Arabidopsis thaliana: one gene and its partners. The protein of the gene in region 1 binds, or shares a complex with, the protein of each later gene. Each region holds a gene or a part of one and is shown in the gene's direction. Other genes may lie near its edges.

Region 1 (3,615 bases):
GGACTGCCCTTGTATCGTACTAGCGGTGACAATTCCGTCCTGTATGATCATGATCTCGAGAGGTTTGCTTGAATATTTCGATTTTGTTACCTCCATCTTTTTATTCTTGTTTGACACCTTAAAACTCACAGTGCAATTCTTTTGTTTCTGTAGCTATGCTCTGTTTGATATGGATGGCAACCAAGTTCCTCAAGAATTGGTAACTCAGATTGGCGTAACGTTTGAGCGTATTTTGGAAGAGGTATGTCCTTCACATTCATTTAGATTTCTTCTTTATTCCTATTCTCGTATTTCTTGATGTTGCAAGTCTTTGATTGATGCTCATGCTAACTAGATTCGTCTATTGCAAACACAGATCAATAAAGTCAGGGATGAGCAGGATGCTGACATTTCAATTTCTCAGGCTTTCTCAATTGTCTTTTCTAGGAAACCCGAGCTGAGGTTTGTATACATAATGTCTCATTTTCTCAATTTCTTTAGGCAATGCACTTTTGCAAGCTTGGTTTCATGGTTGAATTTTGAATTTTCACATCCAGGTTAGAGGGGCTTGCACACAACGTACTTCAATGGTATGTATGCCGCATGGAAGGATGGTTTGCCGCAGATGCTGAAACCATCTCTGCAAAGTGTTGGGACCAGGTTAGTTACATTCTTTCTCTCGTAGTTAAGAGTTTTTTTTGTATAGACTGCTTCTTGAATTTTTGGTTTAACACTCCGAGAAATGTGCAGGAGGAATTGTTGCCTGGTGGACACGGTCTTATGGTTAGAGGGTATCGTCCTGTCATCAATACTCTGGCGAAAGGTCTTGATATCCGAGTAGGCCACAGGTAAGCTTTTGCGTTTTTCAAGAGTTATGGCATTCGTTTAGTGTTTCACAGTCATAACCTCGTGTTTCTCCTTCTCTCAGGGTTACTAAGATTGTCAGGCGGTACAATGGAGTGAAGGTAACGACAGAAAACGGGCAAACTTTTGTTGCGGATGCTGCAGTCATTGCTGTCCCTCTTGGAGTTTTAAAATCGGGAACCATAAAGTTCGAACCTAAGCTACCTGAGTGGAAACAAGAAGCAATCAACGACCTAGGAGTAGGTATTGAGAACAAGATCATACTACATTTTGAGAAAGTCTTTTGGCCGAAAGTAGAGTTTCTAGGAGTGGTAGCTGAAACCTCCTACGGTTGCAGTTATTTTTTGAACCTGCACAAGGCCACGGGTCATCCGGTTCTGGTTTACATGCCGGCTGGTCAGCTTGCCAAAGACATTGAGAAAATGTCTGATGAAGCAGCTGCAAATTTCGCCGTCTTGCAACTCCAGAGAATTCTTCCCGATGCATTGCCTCCGGTACAGTATCTCGTGTCGAGGTGGGGATCTGATGTGAATTCAATGGGATCTTATAGCTATGATATCGTGGGCAAACCTCATGATCTCTACGAGAGGCTTAGGGTTCCAGTGGATAACTTATTCTTTGCCGGTGAAGCGACGAGCTCGAGCTTCCCGGGCTCGGTTCACGGCGCTTATTCAACTGGATTGATGGCAGCTGAAGATTGTAGGATGCGAGTTCTGGAGCGGTATGGTGAGTTGGATCTGTTCCAGCCTGTGATGGGCGAGGAAGGACCTGCCTCTGTACCTCTTCTTATATCTCGTCTCTAAACTCCATCAGTTATCGTTTACTAGAAGGAACCTCAAGTGATGATTGTCTTAATATGAAACTAAAATTATTCTCGTGTCGGATCGTTTAAAACATTCCCAGTCTTATTTTCTCAGTGTTTTTAATTCAATAAATTGGAACATTATATCCTTGTGATATTATTTATATATGATAATCATCTTTAAGAATTCAAGTACTATTTTCTTTTCTCACTTGTGCTAACTAATATAAACACCAATCTTGAAAGAGGTTAAATTGAATACAATAAGAAGAAAAAATACAAAATGAATAAAATCAGATTTAAAGGACCGATGTTGCAAAAGGTAAACCACCGTGTTTTGTAAATATGAGTATCTTCAGCGGTATAATAATAAATTTCATAACTGGAGAAGAAGATAAGAGTGTGGCACAGAGCTTTATCCTCTCTCAGAGTTTCTTCTCCTCTGTGAATCTCCGACAATGGCGATAGCTATGGCGGTTGTTTCTTTCCCATCTCTGCTCAACAAAACAACCTTATCCTCTTCACTCTTCACTCCCACTTTCCTCCCGGCGAAATCCTCTTCACTTCTCATCAAATCATCACCAAAAACCAGATTCGTGGTTTCATCATCCATGGAAGCTGGAATCGGAGTAATGGGGTCAAAACTCGGGATGATGAGTTTCTTCGAAGAAGACGGCACAGTAGTTCCAGTAACAGTCGTCGGATTCCGCGAAGGTAACATCGTAACCCAAATCAAAACCCTAGCCACAGACGGTTACGACGCGGTTCAAATCGGTTACCGTCGTGTACGCGACAAAAAGCTAACTAAACCGGAAACCGGTCATCTCCAAAAAGCCGGTACAATCCCAATGAGACATCTCCAAGAGTTCAGATTAACAAACATCGAAGGATTCGAACCGAACCAGAAGCTTGTGTTCGATGAGATATTCAAAGAAGGTGATCTCGTTGATGTAGCTGGAACCACAATTGGTAAAGGGTTTCAAGGAGGAATCAAAAGGCATCATTTCAAGAGAGGTCAGATGACTCATGGTTCCAAGAGTCATCGAGCTTTGGGTTCGATTGGTGCTGGTACTACTCCGGGAAGAGTTTATAAAGGGAAGAAGATGCCTGGAAGAATGGGAGGGACGAGGACAAAGATTAGGAAGCTTAAGATTGTTAAAGTTGATAAGGAGCTTAATGTTGTCATGATCAAAGGTGCTTTGCCTGGTAAGCCTGGGAATCTTCTTCGTATTACTCCCGCTAAAATCGTCGGAGTTAACATTCCCAAGAACTAGTAGAGAAGAGACTCTGTTTTGTTTTGTAATGTTGACTTGTGTTTATCCATTCCTTGAAAATTTGTATCGAATTGCTAAATCACAGTTTCTTTCTTAGAATTGGAGTTTTTGTATAAGTCGGAAGTATTTCTATGCTAATGTTCTTGAATTGTGATTCAACTGCGATTACAAAACTCGAAAGCGTATCCAAAATTCAGCATCTAAAGTTCTAAACATAAAGAACTAACGAACAATGTAATATATATTTAGTTTGAAGAAATTAAGAAGGTTTAAAATTGTACATGAGATGACAGACAAAAAATGAACATATGAATATAAATCTTTATGATGGATTTTTAAAGAATGGTTGAGAAGCTTTCAATAGGATCAGACTCTTCAAGCATAGAAGCAGCTTGGAAGCAATCAGTAGCATCAGCTATACGTCCATCAGATTTATGAACCATTCCTAAGTAATACCAAGCTTTTCGGTTTGTTGGATCGATCCTCAATGCATCAGAGAGCAAACTTCTAGCCACGGGGAGAGTTGGCTGATGATCTTTCCCTCTTTCGGACAATAACGCTCCAACCGCTACTTTGCAAGGAACCGATGATCCGTCTAGTAATAAACCGTCCAAGAAAGCTGCTAGCGCGGGTTTGAACTCCTTTCGTCCTTCCCACATTCGACCTGATCATTCCCAAAGATTCAAACCAAATTTG
Region 2 (3,282 bases), 3.7 Mb from region 1:
TTTTTCATTTTCCGGGTAGCATGGGAAGGTGTTATTACCTTGTAACTTTTACAGAGTAACCATGAATGTGACTGTAGTTCCAAGTATATTCATATTAACCAGCCCTAACTCTTTTTAAATCTCTATATTTCAGTACACTGATGGATCTGTTACCCTCAAAGCTTGTGCTGGTCTAAATGGTATGAGGTTAGGTGGCAGTGTAATAACAGCCGTTTGTGCATTTCCTGATGCATCATCCGTAGCGGTAATTCAGTGACCCAACTTTGCTTTCGTTAGTTCATGTTGTGTTTGTATGGGTGACATTGAACAGAAATTCCTTTAGTTACTTGTGAGAGTGGTGTGTGTACGTAATATGTGTTGCAGGTGAATGAGAATCCACCATTCTATGGGATACCTAGCCATGCAAAACCACTTCTTGGCAAGCCTAAGAATATTCTAAAGCTAAAAAATGTGGTAAGCATAATTGGTGTATCCTTTTTCTTGTGAATCTTTCCCAAATAAACTATGTGAGGCTATATTAACATTCCATTCTTTCTTGTTTGACAGGTTGACCCAGAAGATCTCACGTCGTTTTCCGAGCAAGAAGTGAAAGAAATTTTGGAGGATGTACGGTTAGAATGTGCCAGGTTAAGCTCTGAGATCATCTTCCCATGAGTCCATTGAGCTTTTAAAAGCTAGTAAATTAAGAAAATAGGCCTCTGGGTCTTGTCATGATGCAGGTTTGGGGTTATTAAGTCGATAAACATCTTGGAACACAAGAGCAAAGATATCACTGTTTCTGAAACAAATCCATTGTTGAACTTAGAATCAACTGATTCTAAAGAAATGAATGTGTCAGTGATCGAGGAGAAAGATGAAGGATCCGAGAAAGCGGAAGATATTGCAGACAATGTAGATCTTGCAGAGGTTGTCATGCCAGACAGTTTGACAGGTGAAGACAAGTTATGTGAACCGTGCTCGGATACTGCTGCTGAAACAAGCACTCAAGAAAATGAAGATCTACACTCCACTGAACAAGAGCATTGTGAAAAGATTGTTGAAGAAAGTGCGCAGGCCGAGGCAGAGAATCCACAAGAAGTAGCATCAGTGCGTACCGTGAAGACAAGATGGGATGCTGGCGACAAGATAGAAGAAGAACAAGAAGAAGACCCCGAGGATGTATTTGAGACGGGTTGTATCTTCATTGAGTACAGAAGACCAGAAGCGACATGTGATGCAGCCCATTCTTTACACGGAAGGCTATATGATAACCGGATTGTGAAAGCAGAATATGTTTCTAAAGAGCTTTACCAAATCCGGTTCCCAAGTGGGTAAATAATCCCACAACAAGTGAGACTCTGTGATTCTTCTCATCTTTACCACATAACCGGTTCAAACCGAGTTCAGAGATACATAGCATCTACAATCAAAAACCCTTCAAAAATCTCTTTGTAATCGTTGGGATTGATCAGGTTGGATTATTCATCACCACCTGTGTCTCGTTACTTTTATGTATTAGAGAATCCAAGAAGGGAAAGATGAAACCATACTATTGTGTTGGTGGCTATATGGACCGGTTTGCTTACTGAAAAATTGTTGTGTTAAAAGAGAACGTAACCTTCTGAATGAGAAAGCGTCTTTCATTTTCTACAAAATAATAAATAAAATGAACCCAATCTCCTTCTTTATCCAAATCCTCCTTCGAAGCAGAAGTAACAGCAACCAAAAATGACGACAATGGCGACACAAGGCGCTTGGCTACGAATGACCTCATCAGCCAAGTCCATGACCAAGTCAACCGTGACTTCAAAGGAGCTTGGATTCCTCACCTCCCAGCTCAGCGGCTTAAGAATCTCATATACTCCCAGTGACGTCATCAACCGTATCTCCCTTCCTTCGTTCCCCGGGATTCAGCCAATCGTCGCACGTAATTCCCCTTTTCCCTTTCTCTTAGGGTTTAGTCGAATGCATTGGCGTACTAAATTTATCTTGCTTTCGTTTTATTCATGTCGAATTTCGAATCTCTGAGTTAGCAAGCTTGTGTTGAATTGTCTGGAACTATGTCTTTGCTTTTAGATATGAAAATGAGCAGTGTATTTAAAACCCGTAGCATAATTTCTCGTATTAAACTTTTCCTTTGAATTTGATGTTATGTTAAAAAAATTCTCCAAAATTGACCACATTTATATGATTCTGAGCATTGGGCAATTTGCTCCTTTTTTCTTGAAACTGTGTTTTTGTTTTCCAAAATGTCAGGTAGAATCTGCCCTTTTACTGGGAAGAAAGCAAACAGAGCAAACAAAGTTTCATTCTCTAACCACAAGACCAAGAAGTTGCAATTCGTCAACTTACAATACAAGAGAGTTTGGTGGGAAGCTGGCAAACGTTTTGTCAAACTTCGTTTATCAACTAAGGCTTTGAAGACCATTGAGAAGAACGGACTCGACGCTGTTGCCAAGAAAGCCGGCATTGATCTTCGCAAGAAATAGATATGATGATCGCAAAGTTTATTATATACATTTCTTGCTTCTCCTTTTGCAGTACTCGTACATTTCCTTTCTAGATTTTGGTAAGTATCAATGGAATCTCTGAGTTGTTGTATCAGACACTGTCAAGAAAAGACTTTAAAGAGAAACGAAAACAAACTCTCACTTGCAGGTGGCTCAAATAATACATTTCATGGTTTTGTTTATGTTTCTCAGATAATATCGTTACAGGTTGTATCAACTGAATTCTCGGGTTTTCCTTTTGAAGACTTCTTAATCGAACCTTCTCCTCCTGCTGATGATCCTTTTAGTTTCCTAGGACGCGATGTAGCCTTCCGTGGAGGAGCTGAACCATCAGGTATTTGATTAGGAACTTCTGTGTCTGGAGCCGGGATACCACCACGCCTTCTGCGAACTGATGGTTCTTGATCATTCGATGAGTCTGTTGACCCGTGTGCGCTTCGGTTATGTCTTGAATGCTTTGATGGTTCATCTGATGATGCAGCATTTCCGCTACTTTTTCTAGGCGGAGACCCGTTATGATTTGGAGAAGCTGCTCCTCCGGGTTTCCGCCTTGTTTTCTGTTTCGGTTTCTCGTTTGTGTTCGAAGGCAGTAACTCTTTTAGCCCGGCTCCACGTTGGTTCGTCCCTATTGAGATACACATCAATTCCTCGAACCAATCCAGATTTGTTCCTCAAAGCTTAACACTTTAAGGGAAAAGGAAAAACACACTTTGCAAAAATAACTAACCTTGCGGGTTGTATTTGTTGGAATTTCCCCTGGAAACGACTTGACCTTTCTCATGTTCTTGAGTTT
Region 3 (4,530 bases), on another chromosome or scaffold:
TCAGTCAACTCGGAGTAGCATAATCATAATCTCACTATCGACTAAATGGGGAAACATTGAACAAGTAAGTGCTGTAAAAGCTAAGAGGATACGGGTTTCCCCAACTGCGCGGTTAGCTAAACCGGTCTGAAATGGCAATTGGCATCAGAAATAAGAAAGAAGAAGGCCGTATAAGGCAATTAAGAAACTTAGGGTAGCTGCTATCTTACGCATAGATGTTGTAATGCCTCCACCGAATCTGATACAGGCACCTGAAGCAACGAATGATTAAAACTTGCCTACCCAGTAAAGATTTTTCTCAACACTAGCAAATAGAAGATATAAGACAATGAAGCTAGCCTCTGTAACGCCTGACAAGAGTATTCCTTGTGTTTTGTTCTCCTTGATCTGTATGTTTGCTTTTGATAAGTCCAACAGGTCCCTGAGAGATATATGAATTTATCGATAAGCTATATACCCTAGAAGAAATCAGAGGGAATTACATACACAATACCTGACTTTCTCCATGTAGATCTCAACCTAGAGGAGACAAAAGACACGTAAGATGTCTATACAGGAGAGCTTGAAAGGAGACTTATAGCAAGTGCATTTAAGTCAGTACCATAGACAATTTAACAGTGTATCTTGCAATATCATTGGAAGAGCTGATTTGCTCAAACATCCCATGGACCACTCTTGGAAGAAGTCCTTTATTGTGCTCATCACAGTCCTGGATGCCTGGTCCCTGAATCAATCGAAGAAAACCAAAATGAGCCAGAAGAAGGAATGGTCCTTGTGCTACAGGAAGAGGTATCAAGATGAGTTAGGTGACCTCCATGGAATAAGTCTTCCCAGCCCCTGTCTGCATAGTATAACATGAAACGATCAAATTGAGATCAAAATCTGCCAAATTAAGAAAAAGACATTGAAAGCATTTCCAGATAAAAGAGATCAGGAGAAGAACAAACCTGTCCATAAGTGATGATTGTTCCGTTTATACCATTTACAGCGTCTGAAAGTAGTAGTAGTAGTACAAAGGTAAAAGATGCAAAAGACAAAGGTAGGAGGAAACCAAAACCAAAAATGTTGATTACATTGTAAAATCATAAGATTGGTGCTCAAATGTTTAGATCTAAAATCCAGAAGAGAAGATCAAGGAATCAATTAGTACCTCTCATGATGGGGAGAGCCAGAAACTCATAAACCGCAGCTTGGGTAGAGTCCTCATAAAAAACTCTATCGAGGCTAAATGTAAATTCATCTTCCTTGTCATCCTACACGCAAGTAAAAACGCTAGATAGAGTTTGAGAGACAGAGAGAGAGAGACAATATTAATCAAGCACACGGCGTCGAGTAGACAAACTTGGAAAACGAAGGTTTCAGCGTCGATGGGTCGAGCACAGACACCATCTCTGCTGGGATCGCGCATCTCTTTAGAGCTTCGCGGCCTGAATCGCGCACAGACGGTTACGTTAGACATCTCCTCTCCTTATCGGAACGAGCTCAGTCTACAGTGAAACACCCAAAATGAGTCAGCAGAAGATGAATGAAATTGGGGAAATAGTAGCACAGGAAATTTGAAGCTGAGAGAAAAGGAATCGGAACTTACCTCTCAAATGGAGTGGAGAGTCAGAGTAGGGTTTCTCTTACGGGCGGGAAAGAAGAAACTCGAAATCTGATTTTTGAGAAAAGAGAAGGAAGAAGAAGAAGGAGAAGGAGAAGAGGTCACGAGGATACGCGTGTGGGTTGTTAAAAGATCTAATGGTCCATAAGAAGACACGTGTCACTAGGAACACGGTAGCTAAGGTGCCCGCCACGCAGAGAATAATAGCTTAGAAAGAATAGGGGGTGTTGTTATCCCCTTGGGCGTGGAGTGGATTAGGGAGACTCGCACTCTTCTTCTTCTTCTTTGTACCCAGAAAGAAAGAGAGCTCCAACAATGGCTGCTTGCGCTACTCACTCCTCTCTCATGCTAGCATACGCCGCCGCATCCACTCGTTCCCAGGACCTTACCCCTACTCCATCTCTTTTCTCTTTTGCCAGCTCCAGACCCAACCACTTGAGCTTCCCGCTTCTTCTCCTTGGGGGTTCCAGGGACCGGAGATGTGCTGCTATTGACAGAGCTTCCAACCACAAGTTTATTGTCTCCGCCGTGGCCGCTGAGGCTGACCTCGACACGGAGGAGGACCTGGAGCAGACCGCCACCGCCGTCCTTGATCCGCCCAAGCCTAAGAAAGGAAAAGCCGCTTTGGTTCTCAAGAGAGATAGAGTATGTGCTTTACCTACTTCAATTTCGCTTCCTTTACTCGTGAATCATCACTTTGTTTGCTTACCCATTGACAGACAAGGTCTAAGAGGTTTTTGGAAATCCAAAAGCTAAGGGAAACCAAAAAGGAGTATGATGTCAACACTGCTATCTCTTTGCTTAAACAAACTGCCAACACAAGGTTTGTTGAGTCTGTTGAAGCCCATTTCCGTCTCAACATCGATCCTAAGTACAATGACCAGCAGCTGCGTGCAACGGTCTGCTTTGCCTTTTGCTGGATATACACTCTATCTTGTGCTGCTTCATTCCACAACATTTTTTAATCTCAATGCATTGTCTTTTTGTATAGGTGAGCCTGCCTAAGGGAACTGGCCAGACTGTTATAGTCGCTGTTCTTGCACAAGGTATATTGCCCCACCAAATTCACTGCTAGGACTTAGGACAGAGATTATGCTTTACCATTTCAGTCACCAAATTCACTGTTAGGACTTAGGACAGAGATAATGTTTACGGTATCAGTCAGTCAGTCAGTACTTCTCTAGATGCAACATTGTTTGGTGCGATTGACTTTTTATTTATATATTGATTGGATGGAGTTCTTGTGTATCATGTGGCTTATTCTTTCTAAATCTTTGGCTTGCACCATTTCCATGCTGAACTTCCAGGTGAGAAGGTTGATGAAGCCAAAAGTGCAGGGGCAGATATTGTGGGCAGTGATGATTTAATCGAACAGATTAAAGGAGGCTTCATGGAGTTTGACAAGCTGATTGCATCCCCGGATATGATGGTCAAGGTATGTGTTGATGATATAATGTTCTACTTGTTACAGCATATGAAACCGTCATGCTTGGCAAATAAGGTGGCATGAGATACTTGTAACTCGTGATCTATTTTCTAACATTCTTGAACTTGGCGCTTAGGTTGCTGGCCTGGGAAAGATTCTTGGACCACGGGGGCTCATGCCAAATCCCAAGGCTGGTACAGTCACAGCGAACATTCCCCAGGTAAGCCTACTCTGCAACATCTTTTCCTGATTCTGGTAGTCATGGCTTAAAGATGCATAAATCTCTCAGGCTATTGAAGAGTTCAAGAAGGGGAAAGTTGAATTCAGAGCAGACAAAACTGGGATTGTTCACATTCCATTTGGGAAAGTTAATTTTACAGAGGAAGACCTTCTCATAAACTTCCTTGCAGCAGTGGTAGGCTAATTCTCCATTCTTATTACGTATTTCTGTGGTTTAAAATACAAAAAAAAATGAAGAGGGAAAAGTAAATGATGAAATGCAGAAATCGGTGGAGACAAACAAGCCAAAGGGAGCTAAAGGAGTGTACTGGAAAAGCGCTCACATATGCTCGTCAATGGGGCCTTCCATCAAGTTGAACATAAGAGAGATGATAGACTTCAAGCCTCCCACTGCGAACTAATCGACAACGCCATTTGTAAATGGGGTCCTTTTGGGAGACGGGCAATGCCAGTGTAGACAGAGAAGAGAAACACCAAGTCTAGTCTGTTAGTAATCTTTTCACGCCTCACTGCTTTGTATCACTTTGATGGCCATTTGCTTCTTGTCGTTATTTATTTACTATTGCCTATTAAAATTTGGCAAGGGGCTGTACATGTCAGGACGCAGAACTCTTTAGTACTCTCTAAAAGAAAAGACCTTACATTGATCTTTAGGTTACATACGAGGAGGAGGTTTCTGTGTACATTACATGTGATTTACTACTACAAATATTACAAGGCCAGACTCTGCTTCGTCATTTCCATTTTGGTGAGAAGCCCTCTCATCTCTTCCTCCATTCTCATCTTCATTTCATAAAACTCTCTCTGCCCTCTCTGCATTGCCTCTAACTCCTCGTACCTCCTCCTCCTTCTCTCCTGTGCATCCTCCATACTCAACTTCCCCATTCTCCGATTGTACTCTTCTTCTATCTTCTCCTTCTTCGCTATTGCTATTCGTTTCAGTCCCTCTGCTTCTCTTCGTGCATCATCGGCCCGCCCTTGGAACATTTCTGCCTCTGCTTGCTTCATTCTCACAATGCTCTCTAGCTCTTCGAAACGAGGTTCCTTTGGTGAACCCCTTTCCAACTCCATCTCCACTGCACATATTTCAACTTGCCTCTCTCTGTGGAATGCATCAGCTACGCTCGCTGACCTTTTCAGCTGATTATGCGGGTTATCTGAGCACACCGATCTCAGCCACGCCGTGTCCTGACTAGGGCTTCCCCTCTCATGCCTGGGTTTTGGCTGTTCGTATATGAACGGTGCACTAGTTTCAGCAGGA
Region 4 (4,017 bases), on another chromosome or scaffold:
TTCCTTTGGAACAACCCACAAGACAGAAACACATAACAACACAACTCTGATTGCTTTCGCCATGGAAACTTCTCTTATCATCACCAAAAATCCCATCTTTATCACAATTTCCAGCAAAAGCACTAGTTTTTCTTTGTCCTGGTCTCATATAACCATTTGATTTATTTGGAGTAACACCTGCGAAATAAACAATGCCCAACCTGAATCAAAATTGAGATTATAACAAAAGACAAAAAAGATGGTCCAGAAATCTGGTGAAAGAAGGCAAAACCAACCAAGAAATCGGGAGTTAGATTCTGTAGAGAGATTGGTGTATACAGATTTTTGTGTCTGTATATTTATTTATAGTGTATAAAATAATGTATTTATATGAGGCCCTTTGATTCTAGAAACTGGTGCTTTACATGTGCAAGTAAGAACTGAAAATAATGAAGTGTAAGAGGGCCGTCTTAAAGATGGTTCGCAGAGAAAGAAGCAAAAAGTGTAATAAATAATTCAATGAACAAATAACTAAAGATTATATATGTAAGAACATAAAGAAAAACAAAAATTAAAAGATCCAATTGAGAAAAAGAAGAAGCAACCTTGGAATAAATACGAGAAACAAACTTTAATCAGAGATCCATAATCTTCACAAGTAAACGAGTGATTTAGCACTAAGCATAAAGAAGAAAGACAGAGAAAAGAAGTCGAAGAAGCAGAAGAAGAACTGTTTCTGAGCTCAAGCAAAGAATAATTCATAATATTCTCTCTCCTTTTTTTTCCCTATTTTCTTCCTTATCATTACTTATTTTTTTGGTATTTTATGAAATTTTGTAAATTTTGTTTTGGAGTGCTATTTCTGGAGTGGTCAGTGAAGACGTAGGCCAAGGTGTGGGGTAGTATGATCGATGCTTTACTTGTGTCCTCATACTATTCGATAAATCAAATTTTTACGTTGGCTCTTATTGGTAACTATCATTTATTAAGGTAGTTGATGCATTTTTCTTTTTGGTTACAACGGATATAGTTAAATGGTAATTAGGGTAACTACGTATGACATGAGGCAAAATAATAATTGAAAATGTGAATGTGAGGAGTGACGACCTAATTGCTCCAAGGCCGCCTTCGTCAAAGAATAAGTCTCCTCAACGGTTGTCAAATCAATTTCACACAAAAAAAAAAGAAAAGAAAAAGATATTTTCAGACATAAATAGTAAAGTAATTGTACTATTGATTTCATATGATAAAAGGTGCATGAAACACATGGTCGACTATTTTTTGTCTTTAGAGTGTTCATTAAGGAATGTTATTAAAAAAAACTTATAAGAGCTGCATTTGTTATTACATAGTTCCTTATTGAAATTTTCATTTGTTAATTGTTAACACAAAATAAAATATGCCACTGAATCCACAAATATCTTGTCGGTATCGAACTTTTTATTTATTTAGAACAAGAATATCTTGACCAAATGAAATGTGAACCAGGAAAATAAATATACAGTTCATCTTTTTTTTCTTTGAATCTTCTCAATTTGTTGTTTGGATTTTTCTGAGGGTAAGGGCCCATTTCATTTTTAAATTTGTCTGTTAAGAGTAGTTTAAAATCCATGCCTTTAAAAGATTCGACTTGAAAACATACTTAATCGGGAAAGATGCACAATTTTGATCCAAACGCATCTACTAATAATCTATTGACTTCATTAATCTAATCCAAACTCCACGTTCATTGGGTAAATTTTGTGAACAGTTATTATAATAATGGGCCTAGAAACAGTGAGATAATAGGCCATGATCAATATAGATAAATGGGTTACACAAATAATGAATTGTCCCACAGAAGGATGGTTAAAAGTAATGGGCCGAAAATAGTGAGCTAATGGGCCGTGAAAGTAATGATTTGAAAGAGGGGATTACAGAAGCTGACGATGGATAAGTCTTTTCTGGATAAAACGCTCTTCTTCTTCTCTTCATCCTCCTTCTGGAGCAGAGCTTAGAGCTCCATCATCAAATCTTATCAATGGCTTCCTCACTCGTCTCATCTTTTCAACCCAGGTACTTTTCATATACTACAAACCATAGAGCTTCTTCATTCCGCTAGGGTTTCGTTTTCTTTACTTGGCATTTTCTACTCAAAAATCTCTATAAACTGTGTTCATGAGCCTCCCAAGTATAAGGAATCTCTTTGAATGGGTTATTTTTATCTTTTTAAATCGATGGCAATGTTGAATTGGTTATGGACTCTTGAAATTGTGGATTTTTATTTTGGGAATTTGAATGTGTTATGCGGAACTCACTGTGTAAAAAGCAGGATTCTAGAGGGGTTTTTAGCCATGGAAACTGAAAGTTCTACAAGAATGTTTCTCTTCCTTAATCTAACGTTATCTTTGTTCCAATAACAGTTTCTGTGTATTGGTTTAGATATATATCTGGTAGAGTTTTACTTTCTTGACATGTTTTATCTGAAGATAGATAGATAACTTCCCCTTTGTTTTAGGTCAGCATTTTTGGGAGATAGAAATGTGTTCAAGGTCTCAAGCACACCTTTTGCTCAAGTGGGTTACTCCAGTAAGACCATTGAGTGCAAAGAATCAAGGATAGGAAAGCAACCGATCGCTGTACCTTCCAATGTAACCATTGCATTGGAAGGTCAAGACTTGAAAGTGAAGGGTCCATTAGGAGAGCTGGCTTTAACTTACCCACGCGAAGTTGAGCTTACAAAGGAAGAATCCGGTTTCTTAAGGGTCAAAAAAACCGTCGAAACTAGAAGAGCCAACCAAATGCACGGCCTTTTCAGGTTACAAACTTCTCATCTTTTCTTGTCATCCAATGAAGTCCTTAACTTTTTTGAGGTTAAAAGATCGTTTGTTCTCTAATCTTTTTTTTTAACTTCTGTGTGACTTTTAGGACGCTTACCGATAACATGGTTGTGGGAGTATCAAAGGGATTTGAGAAAAAGCTTATACTTGTGGGTGTTGGTTATCGTGCAACAGTAGACGGAAAGGAGCTGGTGCTAAATCTCGGGTTTTCACACCCGGTGAAGATGCAGATACCGGATAGTCTGAAAGTGAAAGTGGAAGAGAACACAAGAATCACTGTGAGTGGATACGACAAGAGCGAAATCGGGCAGTTTGCTGCAACGGTTAGGAAGTGGAGGCCACCAGAGCCATACAAGGGGAAAGGAGTCAAGTATTCCGATGAGATAGTTCGGAGGAAGGAAGGAAAAGCTGGAAAGAAGAAATGATCTTCATTTTTCATTATTATCTACTTACTTATCTCTTCCTTTCAATGTTTATGTGTATTTGCTCAAATTTGTTTAGAAATGAAGATGTTTGTGTTGGGATTCTTGAGTAAGTTTTTAAAGGAACCCATTAATTGTTTTTGATGCTCTGACAAAAATTTCTTTAGTGCTTTGATTGAACAAGAACTTGGGCACAAAGTGCCTCATCGGTGTGATTCTATTGTTATGTTTCCTTATTGAACCAAACCAATCCAAATCGGACAAAAATCATGGTAGATAAACTTTTTAAAACAATTTTTTAATCTATTCTTCTTTTTTTTAATTACAAATTTTCTTATTTTCTTATATCTAAAAAATCGTAACAGTAAGATATTAATATCTGTATTCTTAATTTGGTAGATAACTTTTTAAAAAACGAAAATTTCCTATAAGAATAATAATAGTCGGAAATAAAACAAAAAACAATATCATGGTGATTATTCTTATTTGCTTATATCTTCTTCTTTTTCACAATTTTTTTTTAAAAAAAATATTTACAAAATTTTCTTATTTGCTTATATATATAAAAAATCAGTAAGATATTAATATCGATTTTTTAATTTGGTAGATAACTTTTTTCAAACGATAAATTTCCTAAAAACAATAAAATATTCGGAAATAAACAAAAACCCTGATTGAAGAAAAGTCTTTTTGTTTATCAGTTCACCGGAGGCAAAAATCGTCTCTCGCTTGAGCTGCGAAGATGCAAGCAGTAAAAAGATCCAGGAGACATGTTGAAGAAGAGCCAACAATGGTAG

What was found.
Region 2: AT2G43030 (region 1) and PRPL28 share a complex: the UniProt entries of both Arabidopsis thaliana proteins name them as parts of the 50S ribosomal subunit.
Region 3: AT2G43030 (region 1) and EMB3126 share a complex: the UniProt entries of both Arabidopsis thaliana proteins name them as parts of the 50S ribosomal subunit.
Region 4: AT2G43030 (region 1) and emb2394 share a complex: the UniProt entries of both Arabidopsis thaliana proteins name them as parts of the 50S ribosomal subunit.

What each region holds. Positions count from the first base shown.
Region 1 is NC_003071.7:17,892,795-17,896,409, forward strand, and holds AT2G43030 (Ribosomal protein L3 family protein), read left to right. Parts: upstream 1-2,001; 5' UTR 2,002-2,103; coding exon 2,104-2,919; 3' UTR 2,920-3,088; downstream 3,089-3,615. Other genes in the region: PAO2 (polyamine oxidase 2), read left to right, coding at 1-62, 154-241, 356-441, 537-639, 730-827, 908-1,646; NPG1 (tetratricopeptide repeat (TPR)-containing protein), read right to left, coding at 3,255-3,583. UniProt on the Arabidopsis thaliana protein: One of the primary rRNA binding proteins, it binds directly near the 3'-end of the 23S rRNA, where it nucleates assembly of the 50S subunit.
Region 2 is NC_003071.7:14,171,913-14,175,194, forward strand, and holds PRPL28 (Ribosomal L28 family), read left to right. Parts: upstream 1-1,666; 5' UTR 1,667-1,707; coding exon 1,708-1,906; intron 1,907-2,231; exon of another isoform or gene 2,232-2,235; coding exon 2,236-2,468; 3' UTR 2,469-2,677; downstream 2,678-3,282. Other genes in the region: AT2G33435 (RNA-binding (RRM/RBD/RNP motifs) family protein), read left to right, coding at 134-244, 364-453, 547-626, 720-1,314; RIC1 (ROP-interactive CRIB motif-containing protein 1), read right to left, coding at 2,678-3,114, 3,217-3,282.
Region 3 is NC_003074.8:23,442,351-23,446,880, forward strand, and holds EMB3126 (Ribosomal protein L1p/L10e family), read left to right. Parts: upstream 1-1,852; 5' UTR 1,853-1,918; coding exon 1,919-2,248; intron 2,249-2,322; coding exon 2,323-2,502; intron 2,503-2,594; coding exon 2,595-2,649; exon of another isoform or gene 2,650-2,910; coding exon 2,911-3,038; intron 3,039-3,165; coding exon 3,166-3,249; intron 3,250-3,318; coding exon 3,319-3,444; intron 3,445-3,532; coding exon 3,533-3,670; 3' UTR 3,671-3,980; downstream 3,981-4,530. Other genes in the region: AT3G63480 (ATP binding microtubule motor family protein), read right to left, coding at 93-126, 210-251, 328-421, 494-519, 602-724, 812-841, 948-991, 1,151-1,253 and 1 more; TTA2 (fibronectin type III domain protein (DUF1423)), read right to left, coding at 3,981-4,530. UniProt on the Arabidopsis thaliana protein: This protein binds directly to 23S ribosomal RNA.
Region 4 is NC_003070.9:1,501,721-1,505,737, reverse strand, and holds emb2394 (Ribosomal protein L6 family), read left to right. Parts: upstream 1-1,884; 5' UTR 1,885-1,999; coding exon 2,000-2,034; intron 2,035-2,476; coding exon 2,477-2,776; intron 2,777-2,886; coding exon 2,887-3,223; 3' UTR 3,224-3,487; downstream 3,488-4,017. Other genes in the region: GLR3.4 (glutamate receptor 3.4), read right to left, coding at 1-96; AXR1 (NAD(P)-binding Rossmann-fold superfamily protein), read left to right, coding at 3,963-4,017. UniProt on the Arabidopsis thaliana protein: This protein binds directly to 23S ribosomal RNA and is located at the aminoacyl-tRNA binding site of the peptidyltransferase center.